2 linked regions of the Macaca fascicularis genome follow. The protein of the gene in region 2 purifies or fractionates together with the protein of the main gene of each other region. This does not show direct contact. Links are inferred from orthologs where the notes say so. Each region holds a gene or a part of one and is shown on either strand. Other genes may lie near its edges. The genes, in order: SIRT5 and GLS.

Evidence for each region.
Region 1: the proteins of GLS (region 2) and SIRT5 purify together in Homo sapiens (affinity purification with western blotting; 3 studies listed by BioGRID and IntAct, with this or other methods). This does not show direct contact. The link is inferred for Macaca fascicularis from reciprocal best matches to the Homo sapiens genes GLS and SIRT5.

Annotation. Positions count from the first base shown.
Region 1 is NC_088378.1:159,345,865-159,362,196, forward strand, and holds part of SIRT5 (NAD-dependent protein deacylase sirtuin-5, mitochondrial), read right to left. Parts: intron 12,452-16,332; coding exon 12,226-12,451; intron 10,361-12,225; exon of another isoform or gene 9,621-10,360; coding exon 9,507-9,620; intron 8,829-9,506; coding exon 8,741-8,828; intron 7,380-8,740; coding exon 7,326-7,379; intron 5,287-7,325; coding exon 5,163-5,286; exon of another isoform or gene 5,124-5,162; intron 3,512-5,123; coding exon 3,396-3,511; intron 3,265-3,395; coding exon of another isoform or gene 3,225-3,264; exon of another isoform or gene 2,710-3,224; intron 1-2,709. UniProt on the Homo sapiens protein: NAD-dependent lysine demalonylase, desuccinylase and deglutarylase that specifically removes malonyl, succinyl and glutaryl groups on target proteins.
Region 2 is NC_088386.1:86,653,015-86,669,346, forward strand, and holds the end of GLS (glutaminase kidney isoform, mitochondrial), read left to right. Parts: intron 1-5,916; coding exon 5,917-6,073; 3' UTR 6,074-8,627; downstream 8,628-16,332. Other genes in the region: STAT1 (signal transducer and activator of transcription 1-alpha/beta), read right to left, coding at 13,676-13,690. UniProt on the Homo sapiens protein: Catalyzes the first reaction in the primary pathway for the renal catabolism of glutamine. Plays a role in maintaining acid-base homeostasis. Regulates the levels of the neurotransmitter glutamate, the main excitatory neurotransmitter in the brain.

The sequences.
Region 1 (16,332 bases), on a different chromosome or scaffold from region 2:
GCAAGGGATGCTGGGCCCCTGCTGGTCAGTCCATGGCACGGGAGATGGCGGCCAGCTTTAAACCTGGGTTGTGGAAATACTCCAGTTTTATTTTCTTCTTTTTCTCTATCTGCATTTTCTTGCTTTTCTACAATGGTGATTTGTTTTAATTCTTTATAATAATTAGAGATGAGACAGAGATCAAATGACTGAAAAGAAACCATATTAGAAGAACCAAACTGGGGACATAGCTCATGTCCTGCTTCACAAAGTTCATCCTGTCCCACTCTTTGAGTTTTCTGATGGTCTTTCAAACAGACAGGAGGCTTGAGCTACCTAGCTCTGGTATTACTACTCTTAGTCATGCTAAGTGGCCCAGCTGCTACCCATAGGTGCCACAACACAAATCAGAGGGAGGCCTAATGTGCATTTTTCAGGAGATAAGTTAGAAGATAATTTAATTTTTTATATAACAGCTTTATTGAGGTTTGATTCACATACACTCCACCTATTTCAAATATATAATTCAGTGTATTTTAGTGTATTCACAGAATTATATGACCATCACCACAATAGACTTTAAAGCATTTTTAACAACCTCGAAGAAACTTGTTCTCATTAGCACTCACTCCCCATTCCTCCCTACTCCCAGCCAAAACAACCACTCATCTACCTTCTCTCTATTGATCTGCCTATTCTGGATATTTCATATAAATGAAGTCATACCATATGTGGTCTTCTATGACTAGCTTCTTTCACTTAGCATAACGTTTTCAAGGGTCATCCATGTAGTAGCATATATGGATACCTCATTCTTCTTATGGCTAAAATATAATGCATTGTACAAACATACCAAATTTTATTTATTCATCCTTCAGTCGATGGACGTTTGGGTTGTTTCCACTTTTTCCATGAACAAGTTGCTATGAACATTTGTGTACAAATTTTTGTGTAGATGTATGATTTCATTTCTAGGACTATATACCAAGGAGTAGATTTGCTAGATCACATAGTAACTCTATATTTAACTGCCACATTGTTTTCCAAAATGACTGCCCCATTGTACATTCCCATCAGCCATGTATAAGGGTTCAAGTTTCTTCACCAACACTTGTGATTTTCCTTTATCTTAAAAATTATAGCCACGCTTGTAACTATGAAGTGATATTTCATTGTGGTTTTATGATATTGAACATCATTTCAGTATGCTTATTGGCCATGTGTATATATTTGGAGAAATGTCGTTTCAAATATTTTGACCTGGTTTTTAATTGGATTGTCTTTTTATTATTTATAGTTGTAAGAGTTCTTTATATATCCTGGATACAAATCCCTTATCAAATATCAAATATTAGACTTACAAATATTTTCTCCCATTCTATGGGTTGTCTTTTTACTTAATCGACGGTACCCATTGGAGTATAAAAGTTTTAAATTTTGATAAAGTCCAATTTACCCTTTTTTCTTATGTTACTTGCATTTTTGGTGTCATATCTAAGAAAGCTTTCACTAACCCAAGGTTACAAAGATTTACTCCTACATTTTCTTTTGACATGTTATACTTTTAGTTCTTACATTTAGGTCTATGATCCATCTTGGGTTATTTTTTGTGTATGGTGTGACAGAGGGCTCCAAGCTCATTCTTTTGCGTGTGGATATCCAGCACTATTTCTTGAAAAAGACTGTATTTCATCAAATTGTCTTGCCACTCTTCTCAAAAATCAACTGACCATGAATGTGAGGTTTTGTGTTATTGTTCTGTTTTGTTTTTTACTGGACTCTCAATTCTACTCCACTGATTCTATATATCTATCCTATGCCAGTGCCGCACTATCTTGATTACTCCAAGTTTGTAGTAAGGTTTTTTTTTTTTTCTTTTGATGGAGTTTTGCTCTTGTTGCCCAGGCTGGAGTGCAGTGGCGCAATCTCGGCTCACCACAACCTCCACCTCCAGGGTTCAACTGATTCTCCTGCCTCAGCCTCCCAAGTAGCTAGGATTACAGGCATGTGCCACCATGCCCAGCTAATATATAGTAAGTTTTGAAATTGGGAAGTATGAGTTCTCCAACTTCATTTTTCATTTTGTTTTGGCTATTTTGGGTCACTTGCATTTTCATATGAATTTTAGAGTAATCTTTTCAATTAATTGCTGTAAAAAGCCAGTTGTGATTTTGATAAGGACTGAGTTGATTGAGCCCTTAGATCAATTTGGGGAGCATTGCCATCTTAATCATATTAAGTTGTCCAATCCATGAACATTGGATATGTTTCCATTCATTTAGGCCTTCTTTATTTCTTTCAACAATGTTCTGTAGTTTTCAAAGTATAAGTTTAGCATAGGAGGCAATTTTTTTTAGGCTATCTTCTTAGTTCCTACTACTCACACACAAATGAAGAACTATGGATCAAGAACACAGGCTATAGCTGATCAAAAAGACACATGGAAAAGAAGAGGCCCAGAGCCAGTTCACTCACCTGAGGAGGGGCCTACTTAAGTGTCTGTGGCCCCTTTTCTTTTTTCCTTTTTTTTTTTTAAATCCCAGCAGAGACTTTGAAGAGTGGTTCCTATCCTGGCTGCACACTGGAATCACCTAGGAAGCTTATCAAATGATGTCTGGGCTGCAACTCAGAGCAATGACACTGAAATTTCATGAAGTGGCCCCCAGGCATCAGTATTTTTAAAATATGCAGCCAAGGTTGGAAACTGCTGATTAAAGTAATGACAAGATGTTTCAATGAAGTTTTCTATTTTATTCATTTATATTCATTTACTACTTATTTATAGTCTAACTTATTCAAAAGGAATTAACTAGATGGACAAGAATAAGAAGTAAAGGCAAAAAAAAGTTGGAGTGAGAAAAAAGACAGAAGGGTGAAGACATAAAACAGACCCAGGAATAAGACTAAAAATGCATACTATGACAATCTACACTTCCCACCTAAACTTGGGAAGCAGGATCAGTGTCATAACATGGCCACAGATACAGATAACCTTGGCGATTAGACCAAAGGGGAATCTGCCAGGTGGCCTCCCAGTGAGAACGGCAGGTGATGAGGTTCTGCAAGGGCGTCTCCCAGGCTTACTTGCGGAGCATCTGGGTAACCTACAACTAAAGGCCATCACTGAGTCTAGCTTAAAAATGTAAGGGAAAGCAAAGCCTAAGGAATCAAAGAAGAGCTTTCAAAATGTGAACAAACAAAAGTCCCATGGCAAATGTCGTGTACAATGACAGAGCTACCCTACCTTAGTCTACAGTGAATGATTTTGTTCTTCCATAAAAGCAACTGCAGATCAAACAAAAAAACACAAACCCTGTGTCTTTTTTAAAAATTAGAGGAGTAGGTCAACTATGTTTAGATGACCATGTCTGCACCTGCCTCCCACATCGCCCTCTCCCATCAGGGTATCCCAGTACCTGAATCTGTTCGTAGCTGGGGTGGTCTCCGTATTAAATTCTGCCACTGGCACGCCCCTGGCAGCCACCTGGGGGGCAAACATGGCGGCTGGGTACACCACAGAGGAAGTGCCCACCTACAAGGCAAGCACATGGAGATGGACAAACGGCCACACGACAAGAAGGAACATTTTTTCAGAAAACCTTACACAAACTCAGATAGGTCTGTGGTTGCAGGTGTGAGAAAAGCCAAACAGGATGGGATAAAACAGGGTGTCCAAGGGATGAGGGAAAGTGAAGAGCTGTCCTTTGATCAATCACTAGAATCGACAAGAATATGTGACATGAAAAGGAGAGTTAACAAAAGAGTGACTTAGAAGTGACTCAACATGTTTTGGGGGTAGTTCTGGTTTTGTTTCTGCTTTAAAGTTAAGCAAATGATCCATAACTTTTTAAAACATATTTTCTTTTTGTTAAAGGTAGAAAATACGAAGAAAAAAAATAGATATCATCAATAATCTTACCCCAAGATAACCACTGTTAACATTTTCATGTATGTCCTCTTAGGTTTTCTCTCATAAATATTTGCTTATAAACATTCTTTGCAGGGATGGGAAGAGCATGACTGGTTTGTAAACCAGCTTTTCTCATTTAACAATCCATCATCAACAGTGATACTATACTCGACATTGGAAAGCATTCTTTAAATACTGGCTGAATGAATATGCACCACAAGAAAGTGCCTCTGCTTTTAAAGATGTGTCCAGAAAAATTTGAAATATGCATACAATCTGTCCAATTAATCCCACTTTTAGGAAATGTGTCTTAAGGAAATCATTTGAAGAGCATGGTAAGATTTCTATCTAAGGATATGTACGATATCATTGATTAAAATATCAAAATTTGAAATAGCCCAAATGTCTTACAGTAGAGAATTAGCTAAATATATCATTCCCTATCCATATAAAACACCATACAGTCAACTGAAAGATGATATTGATTTAGATGTACTGACATGGAATATGCTAAGTGAACTGCTGCGTGAATAAAGTAGTTTCAAAACAGAACATATGTCATGAAGTCAGTTTTGAATTTTAATTAATATGTGTACATCTGCATAAGAAAAGGTTTAGACCAGAGGTGGGCAAACTTATTCTGAAAAGGACCATAGAGTAAATTTTTCAGGCTTTGCAGCCATTCAGTCTCTGTCACAAGTACTCAACTCTGCCACTGTAGTTTGAAAGTAGTCATAGTGTGTGGAAGAATGAGTGCGGCTGAGTTCCAATAAAACTTTATTTACAAAAACAGGTAGCACGCCCAATTTGGCCCAAAGGCTGCTGTTTGCTCACTCCTGGTCTAGAAGAAAATATACTAAACTGCTAATGGTAACTATTTCTGATTAGCAGAACTATGGGCGATTTCTAATTTCCTCTTTATAATGTGATAATTTTTGCATGTTCTCAATTAAATTTAATCATAAGCACGTATTATTTTAAAAACCAATAGTATGTTTTTTTTTTTTGGTGGGGCTGGGGGAGAAGGCTTTGAGATGTCCAAGACATGCATGGTTTCCTATTTTAATATAAATTCTTATTCATTGTTTCTCAGTTTTTCTATAGGATGCCACAAAGACCTCTCAACATACATTTTAAGGAAAGGAAGAAGGGGAGGGGGGAGAGAAGGCGGGAAGGAAAGAAGCAAGGGAGCGAGGACGGAAAAGGGAAGAGGGGGAAGCAAAAAATAACTAACTCCAGTCCTGTCTTGGGGTCAGGGAAAGCCGTGACCCACCACTAGACATAAATCACAGCGGCCGAGCTCTTTGTCAACCTCCTCCAGAATGGCAGGATCCAGGTTTTCTCCAAACCACACGACGTGAGGGCGCAGCAAGCCTCCGCAGCCTGCCTCTTCACACCTGGAAGAATGGGATCCTTGAGCCAACCCCGAGCAAAGTCTGCCCAGCTGGATCGGAGGGCGGCCAGGGGCTACCCCAAACCCAGTACGTCCAGATGGTTCACCTCTGATGCCTCTTATTCCCTACACTCTCCTCCCAGCCTATATAAAGTTGCCTTGCATGTGAAGCATCAGGTGTAACGGTCCTTTTTTTTTTTTTTTTTTTTAATTTATTTTTTTTGAGACGGAGTCTCGCTCTGTTAGCAGCCCAGGCTGGAGTGCAGTGGCGTGGTCTCGGCTCACTGCAAGCTCCGCCTCCCGGGTTCACGCCATTCTCCTGCCTCAGCCTACCGAGTAGCTGGGACTACAGGCGTATGCGACCACACCCGGCTAATTTTTGTATTTTTAGTAGAGATGGGGTTTCACTATATTGGCCAGGCTGGTCTCGAACTCCTGACCTCATGATATGCCTGCCTCAGCCTCCCAAAGTGCTGGGATGACAGGCGTGAGCCACCGCGCCCTGCCGAACTGTCCTTGTTTTTTATCTTGTCTCTGTGTACTTGATGTGCTGACAGATTGTTTCAGCTAAGCTTTCCCGGTTCCTTCATTATGCTCACACTTGTGCTCACAGCCACCCAGACCTGGGAGTCATACTGGACTCAGGTTTGCCTCCCACCCCAAGCATCCCCTAATTTCATCGATGACCTTTCATGTGCTCTCAGGTTCACGTCTCTCTGGCCCCGTATGTAGTCAGCTTTCCTGTATCCATTACTAAAAATCTCTTTCTTTCACTCCCTCCTACCTCAGGGTCACCTTCTATACACCTCCTAAAATCATCCCTCAAACACCATTTTCATCATCGTAATCTCCTGCATCATAGAAGTCCTCCAGGTCTCCCTATTCCTTCAGAAGAAAACTTTAATATTTAGCAATTAAAACCCTCATAAGGAAAATTTAAAAGGTTCTGTGGTTAAATAAGTCAGTAAAGCATTAACATACATTTTATAACCACTTTTTAGAAGGCAGCAATGTGGAATAAATGCTCTGAAAAGTCCTGCAGTAGAGCAAACATATTTTAACTTTGTTTAGTCTAACATTTCTGTAATTTGAGTGCCTAACATGTTTTTATCAAGTAATGCCTCTCAACGTAATATTAAATTAATGTTCTATGAAACACTTTTAGAAGTGCTGTTTTATTTTACCTTAAAAACACTCTAATCCAGCCAGGTGCGGTGGCTCATGCCTGTAATCCCAGCATGTTGGGAGGCCGAGGTGGGTGGATCACCTGAGGTCAAGAGCTCAAGACCAGCCTGGCCAACATGGCAAAACCTCGTCTCTACTAAAAACACAAAAAATAGCCGGGCATGCTGGCGGGCGCCTGTAATCCCAGCTACTCGGGAGGCTGAGGCAAGAGAATCATTTGAATCCAGAAGGCGGAGGTTACAGTGAGCCAAGATCGCGCCACTGCACTCCAGCCTGGACATCAGAGTGAGATTCCATCTCAAAAAAAAACCAAAAAAACAAAAAAACCCGCAACAAAAAAACCTCTGATCCAATTACAGATTATAGAAGTGCTGTTTTAATGTCTGGTTTTGAAAAATTGGCATCAAAATCTTCCTTTTTTTTTTTTTTTTTTTAAATCTATGAACATTCTGTTGGGTCCTGTAACCTCTCCTATTCACGTCCTTTCATTGCCTCCTTATTCATTGCCTCCTTAACCATGGATTAATAATGCCAGTGATGTTATTTGACCAGTTATAGGTCAGCCCATATGCTTTCTGTACACTGGGTAACCACCTGTCACACAACAGCTTCAGAAACTTTCCCGACCTGAAATGATCCCGCCAGAACACAAAGCAAAAAGGGGTTGGAAAGAAATCATTTTTTTCATCCTACTTTGGTTCATCCTTTGTCCTTTCACTTTTGGTCTTAGAGGTCAAGGCTAGTTTTCACATTTGTGCATTTGATTTAAGAGGCATCTTGCCAAATACATGTTTAGATTTTGATGTCTATTTTTTTTGTAACCAGGAACACTGGTACAAATCAGAGCTTTTTACCCACCGGGGAAGTTTCTCAACTGGGATGCTGGCATCTTGAGTTCCAGGTTCTGGAGCACTGAAGCAAATAATATTAGAAAAGAAAGATTGTTATTGGCATAATAAAAAATAAAGAAACAACATAACTCAGTTTGTATATTTGCCTGGTAGTATGTGGTGTAAAACTCCTAATTAATACATGCTCACTTGGAAGGGCATTAGAAGGAAGGACCCCAGGCCATTAATTACCAGTGGTACTGGGCATAGTGGCTCATGCCTATAATCCCAGCATTTGGTGAGGCCAGAGTGGGTGGACTGCTTGAGGCCAGAAGATCAAGACCAGCCTGGGCAATATAGTGAGACTGCATTTCTACTAGAAATACAAAAATTAGCTCAGTGTGGTGTGTGCCTATAGTCCTAGCTACTTGGGAGGCTAAGGCAGGAGGATTGCTTGAGCCCAGGAGTTGGAGGCTGCAGTAAGGTGTGATTGTGCCACTGTACTCCAGCCTGGGAAACAGAGCAAGACTCTGTCTCAGAAAAAAAAAAAAAAAAAAAAAAAAATCACCAGTGGTTGTACTGCCAGTGAGAGAATTCGTGTGTAGGGAGGGCTGGAGTAGCTGGGTGTGCTAAGAGGGAACTTCATGTTTACCTTTATACATCATCATCATTTGTATCCTCTGCAATGACATTATACATTCCTTATATAATTAATACTGTTTTGAAATGGAATTTTCCTCAATATTGTGTCTACCCTCAAATGTTTCCCTCATTGTAATAACAGTACTTGTTCATCATAGAAATGTAGGAAAATTCAGAAAGATATAAAGAAGAAATTAAAAATTACCCATAATCCCTCCACTCCTGATATTCCTTGTTAATATTTTGTTATATTTTCTTCTGGTCTTTTAACTATATGCAGTTATACAAACTCATGTGTGTATAAATTCAGGACCCTGTGGTTTTCACTTAACACTGTAAGTTGTGAGCAAAATATTTCTTTTATCACAAGGCTATATTTGTTTTTTTTTTTTTTTGAGACAGGGTCTCCCTGTCACCCAGGCTGTGGTGCGGTGGCATGATCTCAGCTCACTGCAGCCTCGACTTCCCAGGTTCAAATAACCCTCCCACTTCAGCCTCTCTAGTAGCTGGGACTACAGGCATGTGCCACCATACCCAGCTAATTTTTTTTTTTTTTTTTGTAGAGACAGGTTTCTCACTATGTTGCCCAGGCTGATCTTGAACTCCTGAACTCAAGCAATCTTCCCACCTTGTAACCCCAAAGTGCTGGGATTACAGGCATGAGCCACCGCACCCAGCCTTGTATTTAGTCTTATTTCTCATATCAATGGGAATCTTTGATGAATGTTCAATTTCCTCACATTTATGTCCGACCTAAAGGAGAAAACAACATATACTTATTCTGTAGTGTGGTATAATTACCCTTTTCCTGATAAAGCTGGACAAATTGGACTCTTGTAATTCTCAGCCACAACGCCACAAGAGGTACATCGAGTTTTAAATAAGCTACCTGAAAAATACATATGAAGGAAATCCAGAATTTAGTCTAATCAAGAGCAATCATCTCCACATCTGAAAGGGTGTAAGATACTTCACTTTCCACACTTCATTTCATTTTCTGGTCTCACCCAGTTACCCAGGCTGGAGTATAGTAGTACGATCATAGCTCACTGCAGCTTCCAACTCCTGGGCTCGAGCGATCCTCCTACCTTTGCCTCCTGAGCAGCTGGGACTATAGGTGTGCACCGCCACACTGAGCCATACTTCATTTTAGCAAATGGGCCTACCCTAGCTTTCATGGGAAACAGAGGCATGTAGTACTCTTAAGCCAGTCAAGAACATATGCCCTCAAGGACTTTATAATCTGGAGGAAAAATAACTAACTCCATGACTAACGTGCCGTCAGATGACCTTGGAGTGGTGTTCAAGTGGGCAGAAGTGGCCAATAGGGTAGAGGGAGCTCAACGTAAATCTAAGGGCATGATTTATTGATATGACTGATAAAGGTTCAACGGCATGGGATATGTTTACAAAATCTTAACTTTGATTTCAGAAAGCTTCAATCTTTTATACAAAAGCACCTCAATAAATAAGTAATCAACTACTAAGTGAAAAAAGTAATTGTTAATACTAATGACTACTTATTGAGCTGAAGGGGGCCAGAGTTTATGAAATGGGTACTGGGCACCTGGTACCATGCAGAGCACTTTCAACCACGGTGGACACGCGCTGCTCCGTTCTGCCCCCGAGTCCTTCCTTCGGGACCACCATCCCTGCTCTCTCGCGTGCTGAGCCAATAGAGCTGTGGGTCACATCCCAAATACAAGTTCGGCCACATGCTCCACACAGCCCCCATGTGGGGCCCATCCCTCTGCAGTCATGTTTGGTCAGAAGGGTGGGCATGTGGACCAAGCAAGCCCACCCAGAGGTTTATTTTCTGAGCAGGTGGCTGAGCTGGAGAGCCTGGAGCTGTCGGAGGCACTCTCCCCTGGCACGTGGAGGCAGATCAATTGCAGAGGGAGAAGGGAGGCCACCTCAAAGAGTGAGTAAAGCTGAGAGAAGGAGGGGGCCAGGGGCCAGGAGGAAAGATGACACAAGCTGCACCCCCAGGCTCCTCGGTTTTGTCAGTTTTAGTATAGACGTTTTTCCCCATTTTCACATCTCTGAAATTCAGATGTGTCCTGCAATTGCTACTAGCCAGATGTGAGTGTGACATCACCATCATGCTTGCACAGACTTGCTGAAGGAGAACACTGAAAAGTGGGGTGACTTGGTTGTTATTCTCCGTGGCCTGACCAGGCAGATTCAGCCCCTGGATCCTTCCACCAACAAACCATTCAAGGGCCGCTTCAGGAAGGAAAGCGGGTTTTGGCTGTTGTCTACAGCCTTTCCACTGATGGCCTCTTGGTAAGAGTATGTCAGGCCCAATAGCGAACCTGCGGAAGGTGTGCCAGGAGCTTGCACGAGAATCGCAGCTCTAACAGAGGGGCATTCTCTCTGGAAAGGCCGCATCATCCATGTCCTGAGGCACAGAGCATGAAACTGCATGGAAAACACAGACATCCATGCTCTGAGACACTCAGAATTCAGAAGAGCTAGATAATGAGAAATATTTGGACCAGTTTATTATACTCATTTTAACAAGCTCTCTAAGTATAAAATAACAATTCTAAGGGATAATAAAATAGTATATCATGGTTTAGGCAGATTATATTCTAAATGCCACATTAAAAACACGATGCATCTTAAAACACCCTTCATCAGACTGAAGATGCCATTGATTTTTTTTAACCTAAGTTAGAAGAGAGTTCTCATCATTTGAAACTAAAAAAAGTCCTAACACACATATATGATCTTATTTAATCCTTACAACAATTCTGTAACTAGGCATTGTCATCTCAGTTTTATGCTGATGACATAGGCCACATTCTGACATTGCAGGGAAATAAGCAGAGGCACGTGGAAAGTGGCTCAGACCCAGTAGATGTAGGTACCAAAAAGATGCTCAGTTAATAGGTGGCTGGCTGTTCCTGGCAAACAAAAGAGAGGCAGAGTCGAAATGAGTAATGCCTCGCTTTCCTTATCAGGGTGACCTAAGTAAAAGCAGGCAGCTTTACCACCCACACGCAAAAACAAACATCCCCACTGGTGCACTGCCTCTGGAAATGCTACACTTAGAAATGCATTCTTGGCTGGCGCAATGGCTCACGCCTGTAATCCCAAAACTTTGGGAGGCTGAGGAAGGAGGATTGCTTGAGGCCAAGAGTTCGAGACCAGCCTGGACAACATGGTGAGACACTGTCTCTACAAAAATTTAAAAAATTATCTGGGCATGGTGGCATGTGCTTGTAGTCCCAGCTACTCTGGAGGCTGAGGTGGGAGGATCCCTTAAGGCCAGGAGTTCAAGCCTGCAATGAGCTATGATCGAGCTACTGTACCCCAGCCTGGGCAAGAGTGAAACCCCCATTGCTAAAAAAAGTAAATTAATTAATTGAATAAAATTAAGAGAAATAAATGCTTAAAAAATACGAAATGCATTCCTTGAATCTGAATGCAGACTCTTTAAATGCAAATGGCCTTGGGAGAAACCCTAGTTTGCCCATTATGACTGTGGACAGCTGGATGTATTAGACTTGTGGTGACAGTAAAGAAGGGAGGAACCAGAAGACAAGAGTGAAGGAGTGAGGGGTCACCCAGGACAGAGGAAGGAGCCCAGAGGGACCCCAGACAAACTCCACCGACATCACAGGCTTGGTGGGTTTGGTGGTGTCCAGCACTGAGCTGGCAGCTCTCTGAGGCTCCAGGGTGGGGCGGAAGCGCAGCCTCAGTGGGGAGTGACCACCAGGATGAAGGGAGAGTGACAGGAGACCCCAAGATGCTGCAGTCTGCCCCTGCCCAATCCTGCTCAAGCCCTGGCTGTCCAATGAGCCAGGCCTCCTGTTCCTCGGCTCATTGAGGCCGTTGTCTCACAGCACCGTGCCCCTCCACAAAGGAAGGGGTCATGCAGCTGTGCACCCCAGCGTTCCTCCAGTAGCACACCAGCCACCTGGGCTCATGGGAAAATGCAGATTCTGATTCGGTGGGTCCTATGGGGCCTGAGATTCCGCATTTCTAACAAGTTCTTGGGGGACGCCGAATGTCGCTGGCTCTCAGACCATACTGAGCAGCGAGGATGCAGGAACTGCTAAGTAAATAATGCTATGGGTCAGAGGCTCCTCCCATGGCTAAAGGGAGCTGCCCAGGTGCCACGGGGCACTGACATGTCTCCAAAGGAAATGCCACAGCATCCTATGGGAACGGGACAGGTGTCCACCAGGGAGGGAGGGAAGGCACCAGGGGTGATGCTGAAATGGCAGGACAGGTGTTTTAAAGTTGGTTCCCTGAACGTGAGGCTGGGGGTCTCTCACCATGGATCTCCAGAAGGTTCTTGGTGCCAGCCTTGCGGTGCAACTCATCGATGTTCTGGGTGATGACCACGACTCGCCGGCCCTGCTTACCCAGCCGGGTCTCACACTCGGCTATGGCGCGGTGCCCGGCGTTGGGCTCCTTGCTCCCCATGACCTCCCGCCGGTAGTGGTAGAACTCCCACACCCGGGACGGGTTGTGGGCAAAGGCCAGGGGAGTCGCCAGGTCCTGGGGGTGGGAGAGGAGGCGGGAGTGAGGGAGGCAGGGGCAGCCAGGATGCTGAACTCTGGGGCACAGGCCCTTCCTCCCTAAGGCAGAGATAGGCAGCGTCAGGAGGGTGCAGGCTGGAGATGGCAGCACTAGGTTCAAACAACATGGCAGATGCCAGGCAGGGCCTGGGTACCAGCCTACATCCCCATCCTGGGACTGCCCAGGGGTCTTGGAGAAATCAGTCAATTTCCTTAGTGACAAAGCAGGGACGATGCAACCTGTCCCATTTATCTCCCAAGTAAGCTGTGAAGATGAAGTAAAATAATATGCAGGAAGGTATTTTGGGTCGAATCCCCTTTTTCATGGAGCCCTAAAACATATGAAGTGGATCTCATTTTGACCTACACCCAGGGAAAACATGAAATGCGAAATGCCCATTGAAGTCTAATGACCATGGTTAAGAAACTCAGTTTTGATAACTATAGCTATGGCTATACACACACACATACAACTACACACATCTACATCCACACACATCTACACACATACAACTAACACATACACACAACTCAACATACATACACACTATACACATCGACACACACACAACTGCACACACACACATATAACTAGACATACACATGACTATACACATCTACATCCACACACATCTACACACATACAACACACACAACCACACACATCTATACACATACAACTGAACACATACAACCACACACACAACTCAACATACATACACACTACACACTGACACACACACAACTGCACACACATACACATAACTAGACATACACACGACTACACACATCTACATCCACACACATCTACACACATACAAATAAACACATACAACCACACACAACTCAACATACACACTACACACATTGACACACAACTGCACACACATACACACAACTAGACATACACACGACTACACACATCTACATCCACACACATCTACACACATACAAATAAACACATACACACAACCACACACACAACATACATACACACTACACACGACACACAACTGCACACACATACACACAACTAGACATACACACGACTACACACATCTACATCCACGTACATCTACACACATACAAATAAACACATACACACAACCACACAAACTCAACATATATACACACTACACACGTCGACACACACACAACTGCACACACATACACACAACTAGACATACACATGACTACACACATCTACATCCATACACATCTACACATATACAACTAAACACATACACACAACCACACACACAACTCGACATACACACTACACACATTGACACACAACTGCACACACATACAACTAGACATACACAGGACTACATACATCTACATACACACAACTACATACATATAACTACACACACACTAAAGATACACACACAACTACACACATCTACATCCACACAACTATACACACACACAACTACACACACAAACTAAACACACACAACTACACACATCTACATATAAACTGTACACACACAGCTAAACACACATACACTACTACACAAACTACACACATCTACATACACAACTGCACACACACACTACACACACAGCTAAACATACACACACTACACACATACACACAACTGCATACACACAACTAAACATATACACGCAACTACACACATCTACATACACACTATACACACACACAACTAAACATACACACAACTACATACACAACTATACACACAACTAAACATACACACAACTACATACACAACTATACACACAACTAAACATACACACAACTACATACACAACTACACACACAACTAAACATACACACACATCTACATACACAGCTACACACATCTACATACACACAACTGCACACACACAACATACAATTACACAACATACACACAACTAAATATACACATATACAACCACACGTATCTGTTAATATGCACACAACTAAACATACACAATTATACACATCTACATACACACACCTACACACAAAACCACACACACCTACACACACAGAAATACACACATCATACATACACAGCTACACACATACATGCAACTACACACACAGCTAAACACATACACGGCTACATATAAAAAGTGTATATTATATATAAACAGAATAGATAAAATACATATACTTTAAATATGATTCTGGGAGAAACAAACCTCCTTTCTGGTAAAGGAGCCGAGTAGGGGTTGTCTGGGGCCGGAAGCTGGCAGGGAAAGGCACAGGGAACTTTCAGCGATCACTGAAATTTCTGTTTCTTGACAGTGGAGGTGGGGGTGTTATGCAGGTGCATGCACCTGTCAAAACTCATCAACCTGTACACACAATGCACGTGGGTGCATTTTATTCTAAGGAAATTCTGCCTCAATAACATTAATTTTAAAAAGAAGTATGGCTTCTCTATCAAGGAGACGCTTCCTACATTGAACACATGTGCGTTTCATTCTACTGTAAAGGCCCCTCTGCTTGGTGGCAATCTCAGTCTTTGCCAAATGAGGGGTTGGCCCACACCGATCCTGCTCTCCACCTAGAACACACGGCCTGGAACAGTTTATAGGCGGCACAGCAACATGTCCACAGGTGTCCCTGGGAGGGTACTGGAGTCAAATGCATTCTATCGACTTCTTTGCTTTGTCCACAAACTCTGAGCCTTTTTGGACACAACTAAGCGCCCCTCCTCCAAGCTCCTCCCACACCTTCTGACCTCCCACCCTCTGCTGCTGCTAATCCAGGGAATGCCCTGTGGCCCCTCTTTCTTCCTGGCCCCTAATGTTCTCTGCTCTCCTTTTTCCTCCACTTCACCTTTAAGGTGATGACCCCCACCCTTCACCCAGAGGGCAGCAGGCAGGAGGCAGAGCACCCAAACATCTGCCAGGCTCAGATGTTCAGGAGAAGAAGGAGGGGGCAGGTTCATGAACTCTGCGTTCAATGAGAAATGAGCTACTAACCATGGAAGACATGTATTGCAGTACTTATTTATGACTGCTTTTGTTCAGCCAATGAAAATCCATTAAGCACTGATAATGTGCCAGAGTTCTGGGAGCTGGAGACAGTGCAATGAATAAAACAAACAGAGGCCGGGCATGGTGGCTCATGCCTGTAATCCCAGCATTTTGGGAGGCCAAGATGGGTGGATCACCTGAGGTCAGGAGTTTGAGACCAGCCTGACCAACATGGTAAAACCCCGTCTCTATTAAAAAATACAAAAATTAGCTGGGTATGGCGGTGCATGCCTGTAATCCCAGCTACTCGGGAGGCTGAGGCAGGAGAATCGCTTGAACCTGGGAGGTGGTGGTTGCAGTGAGCTGATATCACGCCATTGTACTCCAGCCGGGCAGCAAGAGCAAAACTCCGTCTCAAACAAACAAACAAACAAACAAACAAACAATTCCTTGTCTTCCAAAGCTAGGGATTTCCTGAGCCAGTGGGACGGGAGAGCACAGACTGCAAAGGGCCATGAAGGAATATTCTAGAGGGACAGAAATGTTCTACATTGTGATTATGGTGCTGGCTATACAACTATGTCCATTTGTTAAAACTCATTAAATTGTACACTTAAAACTGGTGACTTTTACTTTATGTAAATTAGATCTCAATAAAAATTGAATTTAAAAAATCCGCACCTTCACAGAACTTACATTCTGAAGGCTTTCCTATAAATTTTTGAATATCAAATCCTAACCCTTCAATAATCAACATTAGTTTTAACATGAAAAGTTCACAGAAACTCTGTGTCATACTTAAGTTCAATAACTTTAGAAAAGTAATGAATGATGCTAACGAAAGTTTTCTGATTTAACTTTAACACAATTATTAGGAGAAACTGTTATCTGAATAAATGCAATCCATACATATCTAGA
Region 2 (16,332 bases):
TGGAGTACAGTGGCAAAATCTCAGCTCACTGCAACCTCCATCTTCCAGGCTCAAGCAATTCTCCTGCCTCAGCCTCCTGAGTAGCTGGGATTACAGGTGGGTGTCCACCATGGCCAGCTAATTTTTCTATTTTTAGTAGAGACGGGGTTTCACCATGTTGGCCAGGCTGATCTCGAACTCCTGACCTCAGGTAATCTGCCCACCTTGGCCTCCCAAAGTGCTGGGATTACAGGCGTGAGCCACTGCACCCGGCCCCTTTATTTCTTTCTCTTGTCTGATTGTCCTAGCCAGAACTTCCAATACTGTGTTGAATAGGAGTGGTCACAGAGGGCATCCTTGTCTTGTGCCGGTTTTCAAAGGGAATGCTTCCAGTCTGTCGCCCATTCAGTATGATACTGGCTGTGGGTTTGTCATAAATAGCTCTTACTATTTTCAGATACGTTCCATCAATACCTAGTTTATTGAGAGTTTTTAGCATGAAGGCATGTTGAATTTTGTCGAAGGCGTTTTCTGCATCTATTGAGATAATCATGGTTTTTCTCACTGGTTCTGTTTATGTGATGGATTACGTTTATTGATTTGCATATGTTGAACCAGCCTTGCATCCCAGGGAGGAAGCCAACTTGATCGTGGTAGATAAGCTTTTCGATGTGCTGCTGGATTCAGTTTACCAGTATTTTATTGAGGATTTTTGCATCAATGTTCATCAGGGATATTGGCCTGAAATTTTTTTTTGTTGTGTCTCTGCCAGGTTTTGGTATCAAGATGATGCTGGCCTCATAAAAGGAGTTAGGGAGGATTCCTTCTTTTTCTATTTTTTGGAATAGATTCAGAAGGAATGGTACTAGCTTTTCTTTGTACCTCTGGTAGAATTCGGCTCTGAATCCGTCTGGTCCTGGACTTTTTTCGGTTGGTAGACTATTAATTACTGCCTCCATTTCAGAAATTGTTATTGGTCTATTCAGGGATTTGACTTCTTCCTGGTTTAGACTTGGGAGGGTGTATGTGTCCAGGAGTTTATCCATTTCTTCTAGATTTTCTAGTTTATTTGCGTAGAGGTGTTTATAGTATTCTCTGGTGGTAGTTTGTATTTCTGTGGGATCAGTGGTGATATCCTCTTTATCATTTTTTATTGTGTCTATTTGATTCTTCTGTCTTCTTTATTAGTCTTGCTAGCAGTCTATCTAATTTGTTGATCTTTTCAAAAAACCAGCTCCTAGATTCATTGATTTTTTTAAAGGGTTTTTCGTGTCTCTATCTCCTTCAGTTCTGCTCTTAGTTATTTCTTGTCTTCTGCTAGCTTTTGAATTTGTTTGCTTTTGTTTCTCTAGCTTTTAATTGTGATGTTAGGGTGTCAATTTTAGATCTTTCCTGCTTACTCTTGTAGGCATTTAGTGCTATAAATTTCCCTCTAAAACACTGCTTTAGCTGTGTCCCAGAGATTCTGGTACGTTGTGTCTTTGTCTCATTGGTTTCAAAGAACTTACTTATTTCTGCCTTCATTTCGTTATTTACCCAGTAGTCATTTAGGAGCAGGTTATTCAGTTTTAATGTAGTTGTGCGGTTTTGAGTGAGTTTCTTAATCCTGAGTTCTAATTTGCTTGCCCTGTGGTCTGAAAGGCTGTTTGTTATGATTTTTGTTCTTTTGCATTTGCTGAGGAGCGTTTTACTTCCAATTATGTAGTCAATTTTAGAATAAGTACGATGTGGTGCTGAGAAGAATGTATATTTTATTGATTTGGGGTGGAGAGTTCTGTAGATGTCTATTAGCTCCGCTTGGTCCAGAGCTGAGTTCAAGTCCTGAATATCCTTGTTAATTTTCTGTCTTGTTGATCTAATATTGACAGTGGGGTGTTAAAGTCTCCCACTATTATTGTGTGGGAGTCTGAGTCTCTTTGTAGGTCTCTAAGAACTTGCTTTATGAACCTGGTTGTTCCTGTATTGGATACATATATATTTAGGATAGTTAGCTCTTCTTGTTGCATTGATCCCTTTACCATTATGTAATGGCCTTGTCTCTTTTGATCTTTGTTGGTTTAAAGTCTGTTTTATCAGAGACTAGGATTGCAACCCTGCTTTTTTTTTGCTTCCCATTTGCTTGGTAAATATTCCTTCATCCCTTTATTTTGAACCTATGTGTGTCTTTGCACGTGAGATGGGTCTCCTGAATATGGCAGACTAATGGATCTTGACTCTATCCAATTTGCCATTCTGTGTCTTTTAATTGGGACATTTAGCCCATTTATATTTAAGGCTAATATCGTTATGTGTGAATTCGATCCTGTCATTATGATGCTAGCTGGTTATTTTGCCCTTTAGTTGATGCAGTTTTTTCATAGTGTTGATGGTCTTTACCATTTTGTATGTTTTTGCAGTTGTTGGTACCCCTCATGGGGTTTTTAACAACACGGGGTAGATAAGATAAACCTTTAGAGAAGCATAAATTTTTTTTTTTTTTTTGGAGACGGAGTCTTGCTCTGTCGCCCAGGCTGGAGTGCAGTGGCCAGATCTCAGCTCACTGCAAGCTCCGCCTCCCGGGTTCACGCCATTCTCCTGCCTCAGCCTCCCAAGTAGCTGGGACTACAGACGCCCGCCACCTCACCCGGCTAGTTTTTTGTATTTTTTAGTAGAGATGGGGTTTCACCGTGTTAGCCAGGATGGTCTCGATCTCCTGACCTCGTGATCCGCCCGTCTCGGCCTCCCAAAGTGCTGGGATTACAGGCTTGTGCCACCGCGCCCGGCCGAGAAGCATAAATTTTAAGATGATAATTAACACTGAATGTTCTCTCTTAAGATTTGCAAAGAAGCCAGTGATTGGTGAGGACAGTGATTCGACATTTATGCAGCCGGATTTTGTTTTTAATAATAATGTGAATTTTATCAGCATACAAACTTGCTCACAATATTGAGACATAAAAAATGGGAAGGCTTCTAAACAAGCTAAAATGTGTAAGAAAACTTGTTAACTCTAAAATGAATATATTGGAGTTTGTTGAAATTTCTGCATTTGGTTGGAATCAGTTTTAGGAAGGCTTCATGGAAGTTAAATTTTAATCAGTGCTTTGGGGAAGAGACGAGATTGAAGGCACAGAATGAAAAGAAGGGCATTCTATCTGTCATGGGAAAAATATGCCTAGAATACCTTCTGTTCCTCCTCTTTCCCTCCTGGTCGACATAGCAAACTGCTATTCATCTTGCAGCAAATGCTGTCAACAAAGTGGTCAGGGAAGGGATAGAACGCAGCTTACACATACACATGTACAGTAAACTCTAGATTCATATCCTTGGAAATTATGTACTGGAGTGGATGAGTCAGCGAGTAATGAGAATAAAAGTTTAGAATGGGATAAAAAACATACTTGATGGTGGTTTGATATGTATTAGGAGTTTGGATTCATTTGAGAACCGGGAGCTGTATTAAGTTTGGAGCAAGTTGATTACACTTTAGCTATTTTGCCTTTCTGTTTATTAAGCTTTAACTCTTTTTTTTTTTTTGAGACTGGGTCTTGCCTTGCCACTCAGGCTGAAGTGCAAGTGGCATGATAATAGTTTGCTGCAGCCTTAACTTCCTAGGCTCAAGTGATCCTCCCACCTCAGCCTCCTGAGTAGCTGCAATCACAGGCACACGCCACCATGCCTGGCTAATTTTTTTGTTTGTTTTTTGTAGAGGCAGAGTCTTACTATGTTGCCCAGGCTGGTCTCTAACTCCTGGGCTCAAGCAGCCCTCCCACCTCAGCCTCCCAAAGTGTTGGGATTACAGACGTGAGCCATTGAGCCTGGCCAACTATCTTTTTTAAAATTAGGGTTTGGGTTTTGTTGGTTCAGCTCTTAGCTTGCAAGAAATGCAGAAAACTTATGTCAGTGTCTGACAAATGTTAGCAATTTTGTAAGTGTTGCTAATACTTTGGTTATCTAACTTTATTCCTGTAGTTGTAAAAAAGCACCATGATTAAAATGACCTTTATTGGCAGTATTCTAAAACCTCATGTTAGGGTGACATTCTTCCCTTTCCCCAAATTTTAATACCCATCCCAGCTTTCTAGAGCAAGAAATTGAAGAGCATTTTCCTCCTGTGTTTATAATCCCAACTAAAACACTATGTAATACCTGTTGGAAATATTACTGTGCTCTGTATATGTATTATTTTTTTTTTGCCCTAAATTGGCCTCTAGGAATATTAAAGTAGATGTACCCATCTGATAAGAAAAAGTGAGCTAAGTAAGTAACTTGATAACTAGGCATTCAGCAAGTCTTTTTCTCTATTTCATAGAATCAGTGTCACCTTAAATTATAAAATAGGTTTGAGCAAAATTTGGGTATTCTTGAGATAGAGTCTTGCTCTGTCACCCAGGCTGGAGGGCAGTGGCGTGATCTCATTCACTGCAACCTCCGCCTCCCAGGTTCAAGCAATTCTCCTGCCTTAGCCACCTGAGTAGCTGGGATTACAGGTGTGTGCCACCACACCTAGCTAATTTTTGTATTTTTAGTAGAGAGAGGTTTTGCCATGTTGGCCATTATGGTCTTGAACTCCTGGCCTCAAGTGATGCGCCCCCCTCGGCCTCCCAAAGTGATAGGACTGCAGGCATGAGCCACTGTGCCTGGCTGAAATTAGTGTATTCTTTAACGTTTATATTTTTCATTAATTCACAGAAGAGTTGTAAAAAAGGTAACACGCAGTTGACATTCCATTTTTCCAGAAAGACAGATAATTACATACTATAGAGGATGACTCAAAAGTCTCTTTCAAGCCACTGACTTCCTAAACTAATGAAGGCCTATTCAAAGTCACTTCATTCAGCTGGTTTTTTTGTTTTGTTTTGTTTTGAGAAATACAAAGATACATGTAAAGTTTTACTTACCCGATTTTAAAAACAGGCTACCAAAATTTACCCAAATATATTACAAAATGAGACTGTTTTAAAACCCTTTTGTTTCCATATTGTGACTCCACTAAGCGGGTAAAAAGTTCAGGACAGAGATGGAAAGAAGGAAACAGGAAGAAGTGAAACTAGGAAGGTGGTGACAGTGGCACATGGATGAAGAAAGAGAGATTAGCAGCCATGGAGAATTGTGTAACGTAAGTAGAGAGAGAGAGAGGGTAGGAAGACAGGCTTCACAGTTTGTAAAGTGTAAGGGAACTGCCTCTCATACCCTGTCATTGACTAGGGCTGTGAGTTATGTAGTTCTGTCTCCTCTTGCAAAAGACTTACCACTTCTGGCAACTCTTCATTTTTTCGTATCCTCGAATTTTCATCGACATCACTCTAAACAGCACAGCCCCAGAAGCATGGCAAGGGGAGTTATTAGTATGGAAAGGGGAGTTGTTCTGCTGCTGGTGTAGTGGTCCGATTGAGTCCATGGGTTCCCAACCTTACCAGAGGTGATAAAAATGTCAATTCCTCTGGGGCCAATCTTGCTCCTCCAATGTGTTTTTGGCCCTAATGGGGTCATGGTTATTTCTAGACTTCTGAGACTTACTGTGGCTTTGAATTGACACAAACACAAATTTTCTGTCAAAGGCTAGAGTGATGGATGTTACATACCTGAATTTTCTTTGAACATTTTATTTTAAAAGAGATACTTTGGGCTTTTCATGAAGCCAAAATTCTGGAACCCTAGAGCAGTCTATTATATCTGTCAACACAAGGACTTTCCTTAAAAAGCTCCCTACATAAGCACTTGTATGTATAAACAAGATCCTTTCACAGATCTTTTTCTCTTCCTCTCCATATCCCAACTTGTTTTGGAGACTACTTTTTGAATTATAAATCCCTTTCTGCATTTCTATTATTAATTTTTATTTGTAAAATTGCTAAAATGGCCATTTAACCTGCATTTAAAATCTGGGAATGTGGGGTGATCATCTTTGTACAGAAATTACCTAATGACCCTGTCCATGCTGTGCTACGTGTTTAGGTGGAATAACACTCCCATGGATGAAGCACTGCACTTTGGACACCATGATGTATTTAAAATTCTCCAAGAATACCAAGTCCAGTACACACCTCAAGGAGATTCTGACAACGGGAAGGAAAATCAAACCGTCCATAAGAATCTTGATGGATTGTTGTAATGGTCTCAAATCCCAAGATTTAAATCACTTACCTATTTAATTGTGGAAAATGATTATGAAGACCGTGTGTATTTCTGTCTGGTAGTGATGTATATTTTACATTTGTCATTTCAGTGTTACTGGAGTTTTCTTCATTGTGCGCACAGGACAAATCTGATCTCTTTGGGAAAAAATAGAAATAAAACAGTCTCCCTCCATAATGTGAGCAATATTACCTCGTGCATTGTATAATTTGATGTAAAAGAAATAGTTACCAATGCTAGCTTAATTGTGTGGTCTTCCATGATTTATTTGTGTTTTGTGAATTTTCAATTTATGGTGATGATCTGCTGATATGCATTTATAAATTAAGCTCTGTTGTACAGTCTGTCCAAATGGGTCAAGGTTGCCTTTAGAAGCAAATAGTGTGATTTTCAAGATTTCAAATACAAATTTAGTTTGAGTGTTTGAACAACTATATGCACTTATGGTTGTGTGTTTAAAGTGTCTCTCACCCTAGCTTCACGATGTGACTCTTAAACAAACTATAATAGTTAACAACTGTTAGTAAGATAGACCAATTCTGATTAGACTTTATCAGGGAATCTGTTTAAGATATGTTTGGTGACCAAAACATATGTGTGAATGTAGTTATAATACTTTTGAAAATTTTTCCTTTTTCTATATCCCCTTAGTCCAGCCTCTCTTCTCATTTAGCTCTCTGCCTCTTTCCTTCAGCTGGGAAAGTGAGTGCTGGCATACTATGCAGTTTTTATGTTTTCCATAGTAAGTCAGAAAATGCCTCCTATTTCTGGCATCAGAACTTTGCCATTTGTCTACAGAAGACGAACCAGAGACAAAATTGCTAAGTATAAATTAGTCAAGTTTACCAGTCTAAAAAACGAAGGGATGTGCAACCGCAGCTCTTTAAGAAGATTTTTTTTAGCTTCTAGGGTAAAGATAAATTCAGAAATGCTCTAAGCTACCAAAGTTATTCTGAAAGTATGGGAACTGCTACCACTAACATTTGTTTCCAAGCCTGTCATTAAGAGTCTGCACCAAGAGATTTGTCCTCCTTGGGGGACCATTGGATCATTCCAGATTTCTTGTGATTTTCTATTGTGTAATTCTTGGTGGGCTCTGTAGTTTAATAATAAGAAAAAGGCCATTTCATTTTAAATTGTGACCTATAATTTTCTTTGTCTTGGGTTGGTAATTCAGGATTCATTTGGAAAGTGGGTAAAAGGGGCTTCAAAAAACTAATAGAACAGGATTTTCTAGGAATTACACATACATTTTATCCTGTCATACCTCGAGATAAAGAGGCATGTTAGTGAGGATTTCTGATATTAAGCACACACACACATGCACACAAATGGACTTCTCTGAAGCTGTGTTTAGTGAAATGAGCTTAAGTACATGAATGTTAGTTGTTGCCACATACAGCAATTTCCTTTTCCTTTTTTTTTCTATGAGCACACACTGCTGCTTCTAAGCTTTACCATGCCTGATGGCACCTTACTCCAGCAGCCTCCAGGTGCGTTCATTTTCACTTCCAGTCTAAGCCAGTGGCTCCAGCCACTGCCCTCCCATTACCTAGATGGCACCTCGTTTGGTGAAACCACGGCCAATGTTCCTTAGCTGCACCAGGCCCAAAGCTGTTCCCACGCTTGAGCTTCCGTGGGGAGGATGGTGAGTGAGCAGTTTCCTATCCTATGGATCTGTCAAGCCATGGAGACAGGTAGCATTTGCAAGATGCTGCACAGGAGCAGCATTATCCCCAAAAATATTACAGGGTAGACACGTTTTAATTGAAATCAATTGAGATAACTTTGCTCAAACAGCAGCGTGCTTTGTGTGACTAAAATGAAACATTAAGACAGTTCAATTGTGTGACTTGAAGATTACCAATGATTTTGAGGCTTTTCTATAATAAAAAGAGGTTCTAACCATTATTTGGGAACAAAGAGAGTTTTCATCTTTTTTCAGATCAAAACCATTCTGTAAAATCTTTGTTGTTTAATTAAATGTGCCCTTATTTACCCCTGATGTTATTTATGACTATGTGCCGATTCCTGCTCGGGCTGTTTGCTGTTGGCTGGTAATAATATATTTGATTTAAATGCTGTTGACTGTGCTATTAACTGCTGCCGTCAGTAAACTCCAAAGATCTTTTTGTTTTGGCTTTAGTATCATATGTGCTTTTTCTGTATCATGAGAGCTCTATATGGTCATGTTACAGCTTTATATACATTGTTGTTTTTGCTGGTCTCATCTTTGGTAATAAGCTATACCCCACTGCTGCCCGACACTGCCCTTTAGCTGCAGAGCTGGATTAGCTATTGACCATTTGATGCTGTTGTCTGTCTGGCAGGGACTGAATGACCTGATGTCAGATTTAGATTCTTCCTGGGGATTATACAGCTATGAATGTATTTGCTTCTAAAACCTCCCAAAGTGAATCTAATCTTAAAACTACAAGTTGTAAGTATTCTGAAATTGGGAAACATTTATTTTAAATGCAATCAGGTAGTGTTGCTTTTTACAGCATAATAAATATATGTATCAAAAAAAACTGTGTGAAAAAATGAATTTTCTTAAAACATTTAAGAGCCAGGAACTCCACTGAGCATACAGACCATGTCTGGTTGGGTTCCAATCCATTTCTAATGCCTGCTATAAAGCTAGGTACTATGCAAGGTGTCAGATGGGGTTACCACAATGACTAGGACAAGAATCCTGTGTGTAGTTCATCTTTGAAGGTGAGGGATATGCAGGCATGTCTCTAGTCCCCTAAATGCAAACACTATCCTTTTACAGTTAGGAAGTGCTCAGTAAATACTTATTGAATGGAACCATTAAACATACCCTTGAATGAGAGGAGAGGTTATTTTCACAAAGCCTTAAAATTTATTTAGAGAGTTGAACCTAGTACTGCCACACTAGAATCTGAGTGTGACCAGCCAGTAAACCTCAGCTCCTAATTTATTCTGTGTGAGAATAGCATTCGCTTCCAATGCCAGAAATCCCTGGTCTTCAGAGCACTCCTTCCTTTCAGGCCAGGGGTTAGTGTATAGTTTTCCAATCATAGAGAAAGTACATGAATGCCATGACTGTTACATTTTCATTTATCAACGTTATCTGTCACAAAGTAAGTTACTTTGCTAGAAGAGTCACTGCATTGCCGGCATTTTAGAACTGCGATGAGCCAGGTAGTATGCAAGGTGACAAGTGGGGTTACCACAATGATTAGAAGAGACATCAGAAATTCTCTAATCTAACTCACTCTTTTATAGATGAAGCTGAGACCCAAGAGTGGGCTGTGATACAGAACTCTTAGGCCTGCGCTGTTGTTCTATGTCCCACAACACTGATTATGCCCAGGTATGGATAGAATATGCATATTAGCTTATTCATATGCACTATCTCCTATTAGCTAAGGCCTCTCCTCTGTGGAGTTTTAGGAAGAGGCATAAATGCTACAACAGAAAGTCCTGCAACACATAGTCAACTTCAGCTATACATATATACATCCATGGATAGGAGCAGGACATCAGTGCAGGCGCAACAAATGTGTGAATAATCCTAAATAGTGAATAGTTATTTTTATTCTTGATACAAGATCATTTTATTTTTGTAGGACTTTTTCAGGAGTTGGGGTAACCTTCCTAATTTTACTTGCTAATCTTCATAGTAAAATGAGTAAATTCATAAATCATACACCAGATGGCCGAGGGAAGCAGCCCATGAATGTGTTAGGTGGCACTTATAAAAAGGCTTTTTGGGAAAGGATAATCTTATAGTTATGCAAGGAAATGATGTGATTCACTAGATTATATGTGTTTGGCAATGGAAAAGATTAGAAAAGGCAGTTTTTTAAAAAGGAGGCATGAGATACAGTAAAACAACTGGACAAGAAGGTATTAAAGGCAGAGACTAGGGGCATTTATTTCTATTCTGGAGAATGAACCAGACTCCAGGCCTGTGTGTGCCCCCACTGTACCCCTTGCTTCCTTTCCAAATAGCCAGTAAAAAGGCTGCTATGAAGTGTGTCTGACAAGCAGTCCCCATGGCAAAAGAATATCAAGACTGTTTCAATTATGTACAAGAAATGTGGAAAGGCTACAAACAGACACAGGTATTAAGGTGTTATAATAGCTTTACAAAATATTATAGGAGAATTCAGAGTTTGATAATAGGTATTTGACAGCTTTCTACCTCTTAGAAAGCTTTATGTTCTCTGTAGACTCAAGATAACGTTAATAAATAAGTTTAAGACTGCTTAAGCCTGCCTCTGTTGTTTTTTTTTTCCTTTTTACAATAAATCAAGCAAGGTATTTAATTTCTTAGTGAGTATAGCAAACACAAAACCCAAAGTAAGTTCACGAAAACTTGGAAGCTGAGGATTATCATTTAAGAGAGAGAAAAGCTCATCTCAAAAAGCTCTAAAAACAATATTGTTTCTCTTCAGCTTTCCTAAAACTGGTTTAAATGTCATTTCTTTGAAATTGTATTTTTTAAATATAACATTTACATTATTTGTAGCTTCTGGCTGTTTGTATCATAAAACTTTGTTTTTTAATAAGGTGATTGCACTAGAATGTACGATCCGGTGTCTCAGAACATCTTCAGTTCCATAAAAGCAGGGATCTTTGCTTTTGTTTACCAATGTTTCCCAAACATCTAGTATAATGCCTGGCTCATGGCAGGTGCTCTGTATAAATTTGATAAATTAATTAATGAATGAATCGTAACTAACCAAAGGAAGCCACTCACATAAATGGTCCTTACTTTGTTAACGTCCCAATTCAAAAGGTAAGTAGAATAATTTTCAAAACACTTTCTAGCTTTTTCCTGTCCTTTCCCTGGGTTAGTCAGTGACAGGACTGCTCTGTTCAGAAAGACTTGCCTTCATATTCCACTTCAGCTTTCAGGAAATAAATAGATTTCACTCATTTCATGCCATCTCAGAAAACCCTCTTTCCTTTAAAATTAGACATTTGTCCTCAGTAGCACACATAAGCTCTATGCTTATAAAACACTTTTCAAACTTACAAACACCACACGAGAAATACTCAAACACACAAATATTCCTTAAGTTAGGATCTACTCAATGACTTCTTATAATGGTTAATTAGGTAAGAATACAAACTTATTAGCCAGGGCATATTTACTTTACTCCTTGGAGAGAGACCACTCTCAGTGTTCACTATAAATAACCTTTGTATTTCCTAGATGTAAATAACAACAGATACGGAGATGAGAATAATCATTCTGGTTATGATGCCAGCATTATCAGGGAATAACACTATTCCATGATAATAGCTAAATACAATTTGCCAGACTATGTCTAACTTGGTGATTACGCCTCTTCTTACCCTTTTTTTTTCCCAGTACACAGTGTATTTACTTTGAGAAGGCCTGGCTTTCTAGCTTTTGACATCTTTGGGGAAAAATGGCAGCTTTTTGTGTGGGTACAATAACTTCTCAGTAATAACTCATCTAATCATGGGGGTGTAGATTTTAGATGACTGCTTTGGAGACAAGACAAAGTCCCATTTCTCATGTATTTTAAAATTAAAAACTGCTAATTTGGGGGTATTAGCAATACCCAGATTCATTTTAAAATAAGTGCTGAATCATTTGTATATTTGGAGACAGCTGTGGTCGCAAAGAACCAAAGTACTTTTGTTTGTTTGTTTGCTTTTTATGGCACCTATTATAGCTCTTTCCAATAATATTACTCCTCTGACCTCTTCCATTGACATATCTTAATCTGCCATAGCAATTCTGAGTATGCATAGGGCAGGTAAGGACAACATTTAGGAAAAGAGTGTTATTAATCTTATTTTAAAATAAGGATTGAGGTACAGGAGAAAAGCATCAAACTAATTCATAATGTCAGTAATTTTAAGAATATTTATATTAAATACTATTAATAAGAGATTAACAGAATTTTAGAATTTTAATACTTCTTAAAAGTAAAGTCTCTTGGCTAGTGCAGTAAAATGAAACCATGCCAAATTCCCAAAGGGCAAAAAGAACTGACAGCTAAACCTCAGCAATTAGAAACAATATTGTTTCAATGTTGTCTTTGTTTTTTAGTCATTTCAATTGTAAAAGGCAACTGAAACTTAGGTTCTCACCATCTATATAAAAACTGAGAGAGGAGGTCTCAGATTGTGTGCAGTGCCACGGAAAACACTGTGTGCATATTATATTTAATGCAATACAGATACTTTAGCTTTAATTTTAAAACAAAACTCAAGAAAACTTTATCTCCGCCAAAGAAAAATACAGCATTTGCACGATAATATAGTTGTGGTAGCAACAGTGGAAAAACAAGGTACAGCCACATAGACAGCAGTATGTGAAAGGGAAGAACCTTGTCAAACCCATCTCTTAATCTACTTGTTGTGTCAGTGATTAGGAAGGAAAAAGGTAAAAAATACAGTATACTTCACAAAACATCATCCATTCAAAAAAGTGTCTGGAAAAAGCACAGGAAAGATAATGGAACCATTCACAAATGTAATTGTCAGAAAAACACATATATCAGCGAAATACATGCAGTTCTCAATGCAGTTACATAGGAAATGAGTTTTGAAATGATCTGATTCTCATATTATCTCTGGTCAATGATTCAAGTTGTCAGTTACTACTTTTTCTACTCCTTTCCCAATTTTGTGGCTAATAGACTAAACACCACCCTAATTACAAAAAAGACAAAATAGCCCATTTAAGAAACATGAATTAAATTTCTGAGTTTATCTACATCTATGATTAATTTCAACTTTTGAATGAGTGGCTGTGAATAGCCTAACTCCCTTGGTAGAACTGTAAAAATAATTGTATGTGACCAAGATGAAAGCAGAATGTATTCAGCTTTGGATATCAAACACAATTTGTGAATCTGGAAATGTACATCCTTCAATTGATACTAGCCAGTGTCATTAAGCCATAACAACAGTAAAGCTAATATTCTCTCAAGAGGCAGAATTTGTCTTTGTCTTTAAATAGCCAATGTGAAAGATGTAATAAAATACACAACATTTTCCCCCTACCAGATGCATGATGGCTACCTTTGAAAGAGGACTGATATAATTGTATATAAACTTGGCTTTAAACTATTTCACAGATAAACCAATGGAAAACTGCCAGTCACACTTAAAGCAAAGAGAACACGTAAGAATTCTCCCACAGAAATTTACCGTTCCTGTGTCAAGCAGTTCCCTAAATAACCATTGCTTTATCCAACAACCTATAACAGTTGGGCACTGACTTTATGCATAGCATTTGCTAGATGTTGCTCAACTTCTCTTCCCAAAGGACCCTCATTCTCGTCCTGATACTTTGGGTGTATCTGGATGTTTTTCACTTGTGAAACCCACTCTTCAGAGTATGCCTTTCAATTTTACCTTCAGTAAGATGCATGATGCCCTTCAGAGTAACTGATGTTTCTGAGTTAGAGAAAAATTCACTTGCTATCAACAGGTTGCAGCGAATTTGCGAGCCTTTCTTTCATTTCCCTAGAAACACAGGATGTGAAGGAACAGAGTAGCAGGAGGGAATCACAGATGAGAAGGAAAACTGTCGCCAGAGAAGATGAAAAAAATTCATGTTCTATACTGCGTTCATCTGTAAAAAGACAAAATGTGGTTAAGTTTATTACACTGATCTTGTGAAATGCAGATTCATACATTAAACATTGCTCGTCTATTCTAGAATGAAGTAGTAGGAAGATACTTGCAATGGCAAGTAAATACCATGGAATGAGAGGGCCTTCAGCATGTACTATCTATTATTCTGGGCTAATCAAGACCTTTTATATCACCTAAGCTGATGGATTATTACTCTGTTGCCCACTGGCTTAATTTTGTGAATCCGTCCAGACTGCATAAAGCTTTTTGCTGTTATGCAAGTCTGGGGACAGAGCAACATGTCAGATCTGCTCATGTGAAACAAGGGTGTGGAAACGCTGAGCCATATGCCAGAGGTAGTGAGGAAGGAGAGGGAAATGATACATTTCCTCTAAAGGTCACTCAGTGGGTAAAATCAGTGACTGTGTTTCAGGTACAGGCTAAAGAAGCAGAATTACTAAGAACTCCTTCACCCTCCCCCCACCAGTGCCTTCTGCCCAGCTGCCTTGACCAGGACAACTTATAGTAAGTAAATTGTTCATCCAAAGGATACTAGCCTGCCAGTGACTTCCTGTCTGACTTCCACAATGGTGTTTCCCCTTAGACCAGATGCTTTCAATTGAGGATGATTCTGTCCCCTGGCAATGTCTGAAGACATTTCTGATTGTCCCATCTGGCTGAGAGGGTACATGTGCTTACTGGTATCTATTTGGTAGAAGCCAGAGGTGCTGCTGAACCTCCTATGAAGCACAGGAAAGCCCTCCTGCCAATCCCCCACAAATAATTCTGTAGCCCCAAATGCCAGTAGCACCAAGACTGAGACACATGGCACTAGACTGGAAAGCCTCTGGAGAACTTTTTTTAATCCCAAGTGCTCAATAGTGTATGGTACATAGTGGGCTCTTAGGAAAATTATTTTGGATTGAAAAGCACAGTGAAAGTGTTGCCCCTATGTTTCAGTCTGGCTCATGTTTCAAATGGGTGCTTAATAAGGTGGACTACAGGGGCAAAGAGAGGGAGGGAGGGGGAGATAGATAGAGGAAGAGAGGAAGCCTGGATTCAGATCCTGTCACTGCGTGACCAGGGCGAATGACTTAACCTCTCTAAATCTCAAAGTCTTCATCTGTCAAAAGGGGATTAATAGTACCTAGCAGATAGGCTTGTTAAATTAGATGGTATATGTAAAATGTTCAGTATGGTAGACAGAAAGTAGTAGACGATTAATAGCTAGTCCTATCATTATGAGCTTTGGCTAAAGGCCTCTTGGAGAGTAGACTGGTTCTATTATAGTCCCAGAGGAAAACACTGATTACATAGGAAATCCAGACTAAACAAATACCCAAGTCATACTGCAGAAAACACTGGTGCTCTGGCTGTCTTGGACAATTTCCTCAGGAGCCTATGGTCCTACTGCTCCTGAGGCTGCACCAGGCGTTCGCCCCTGGTGCCACCCTCTTTCAGAGCTGCAACCTCCAGACTTGGCAGAAGACAGCCAGCTTCGGGAGAGCTGCTTCTGTTTCAGAGTATACACCCTGATTATAAGAGTAGATGCTGGATGGAAGTCATGACCAAGGGGCAGGCCAGCAAACCATTGCGGAGTCAACCCAATTTAGAGACTGATTCAACTTCTGTCTAACCAGTGCCGTGCCTAAATTATGAACTCTTTTTTTTTTTTTTTTTTTAATTATAGCCCTTTTAGCTCTTTTAAGTCTTCTATGGGTTTAATGGGAGACTTTAGTGGTGTGTAGAGGGTGTGTGTGTGTGTGTGTGTGAAATGGATTTATTTTATTCTACAAATGAAATAAATGAAATCATCTGAAATGGAATGGAATGGGTACGGCGGGCCATAGCCCACAAAGAGGACCACAAAACTGTTTCCTGACATGTGCTTAGCATATTTAAATTGCTCTCACAGTATCATCCTGAGAAAACAGAGAGCAGTCCAACTGCTCCACAGGACTGCAGAGAGGGAACCAATCCATCTATTTTCTCAATAATGGTGATGACAGAGATGCAATGCTGATTGCCAAATCCCAAACACACACAGGCCTCTCACCCAAAGGCCATGATGCCTTTGTCTTCATAACAGAATAAACCCAATCCTGTACAAACAGTTTCTTCAGGTACATGTTTTGAATGGGGCAAAGATTAGCCTTTTGTGGGACGCTTCCCAGGATACTGGACAAAAGCATGCACTAGAGACTCACCAGGTAGATTCAAATATTCTTTCTACCATTTACTAACTGCTTGATCTTAGTCAAGTTACATAAAAGGGGCTGTGTGGGGAGGAGAGGTTCTGTTCCCACATCTGTCAAAGTAGGAAAAATAATAATACCTAACTCAGAAGGTAGCTGTGAGGACTGAATGAGTTACTACCTGTGAAGTACATGGTATACTGTAAGTGCTTAATGTCATCTATTAATGGTGGTGGTGATGATGATGTAATTTGCTCAGGAACAACAAAGGAGGTGTAAAAAATCCCCCCGTTTTACAGTTCCTGTGATATAACATATTTTCTGAATAGGGCTTTATATTTATTCCACTTTTGTGCCAAGCCTATAAAGCCCTTTATACCTTTATAGCAGTGTTGGGAGCTACATTCTAGCAGGATCCTTCTTACACACAGAAAAGGTTCATTTC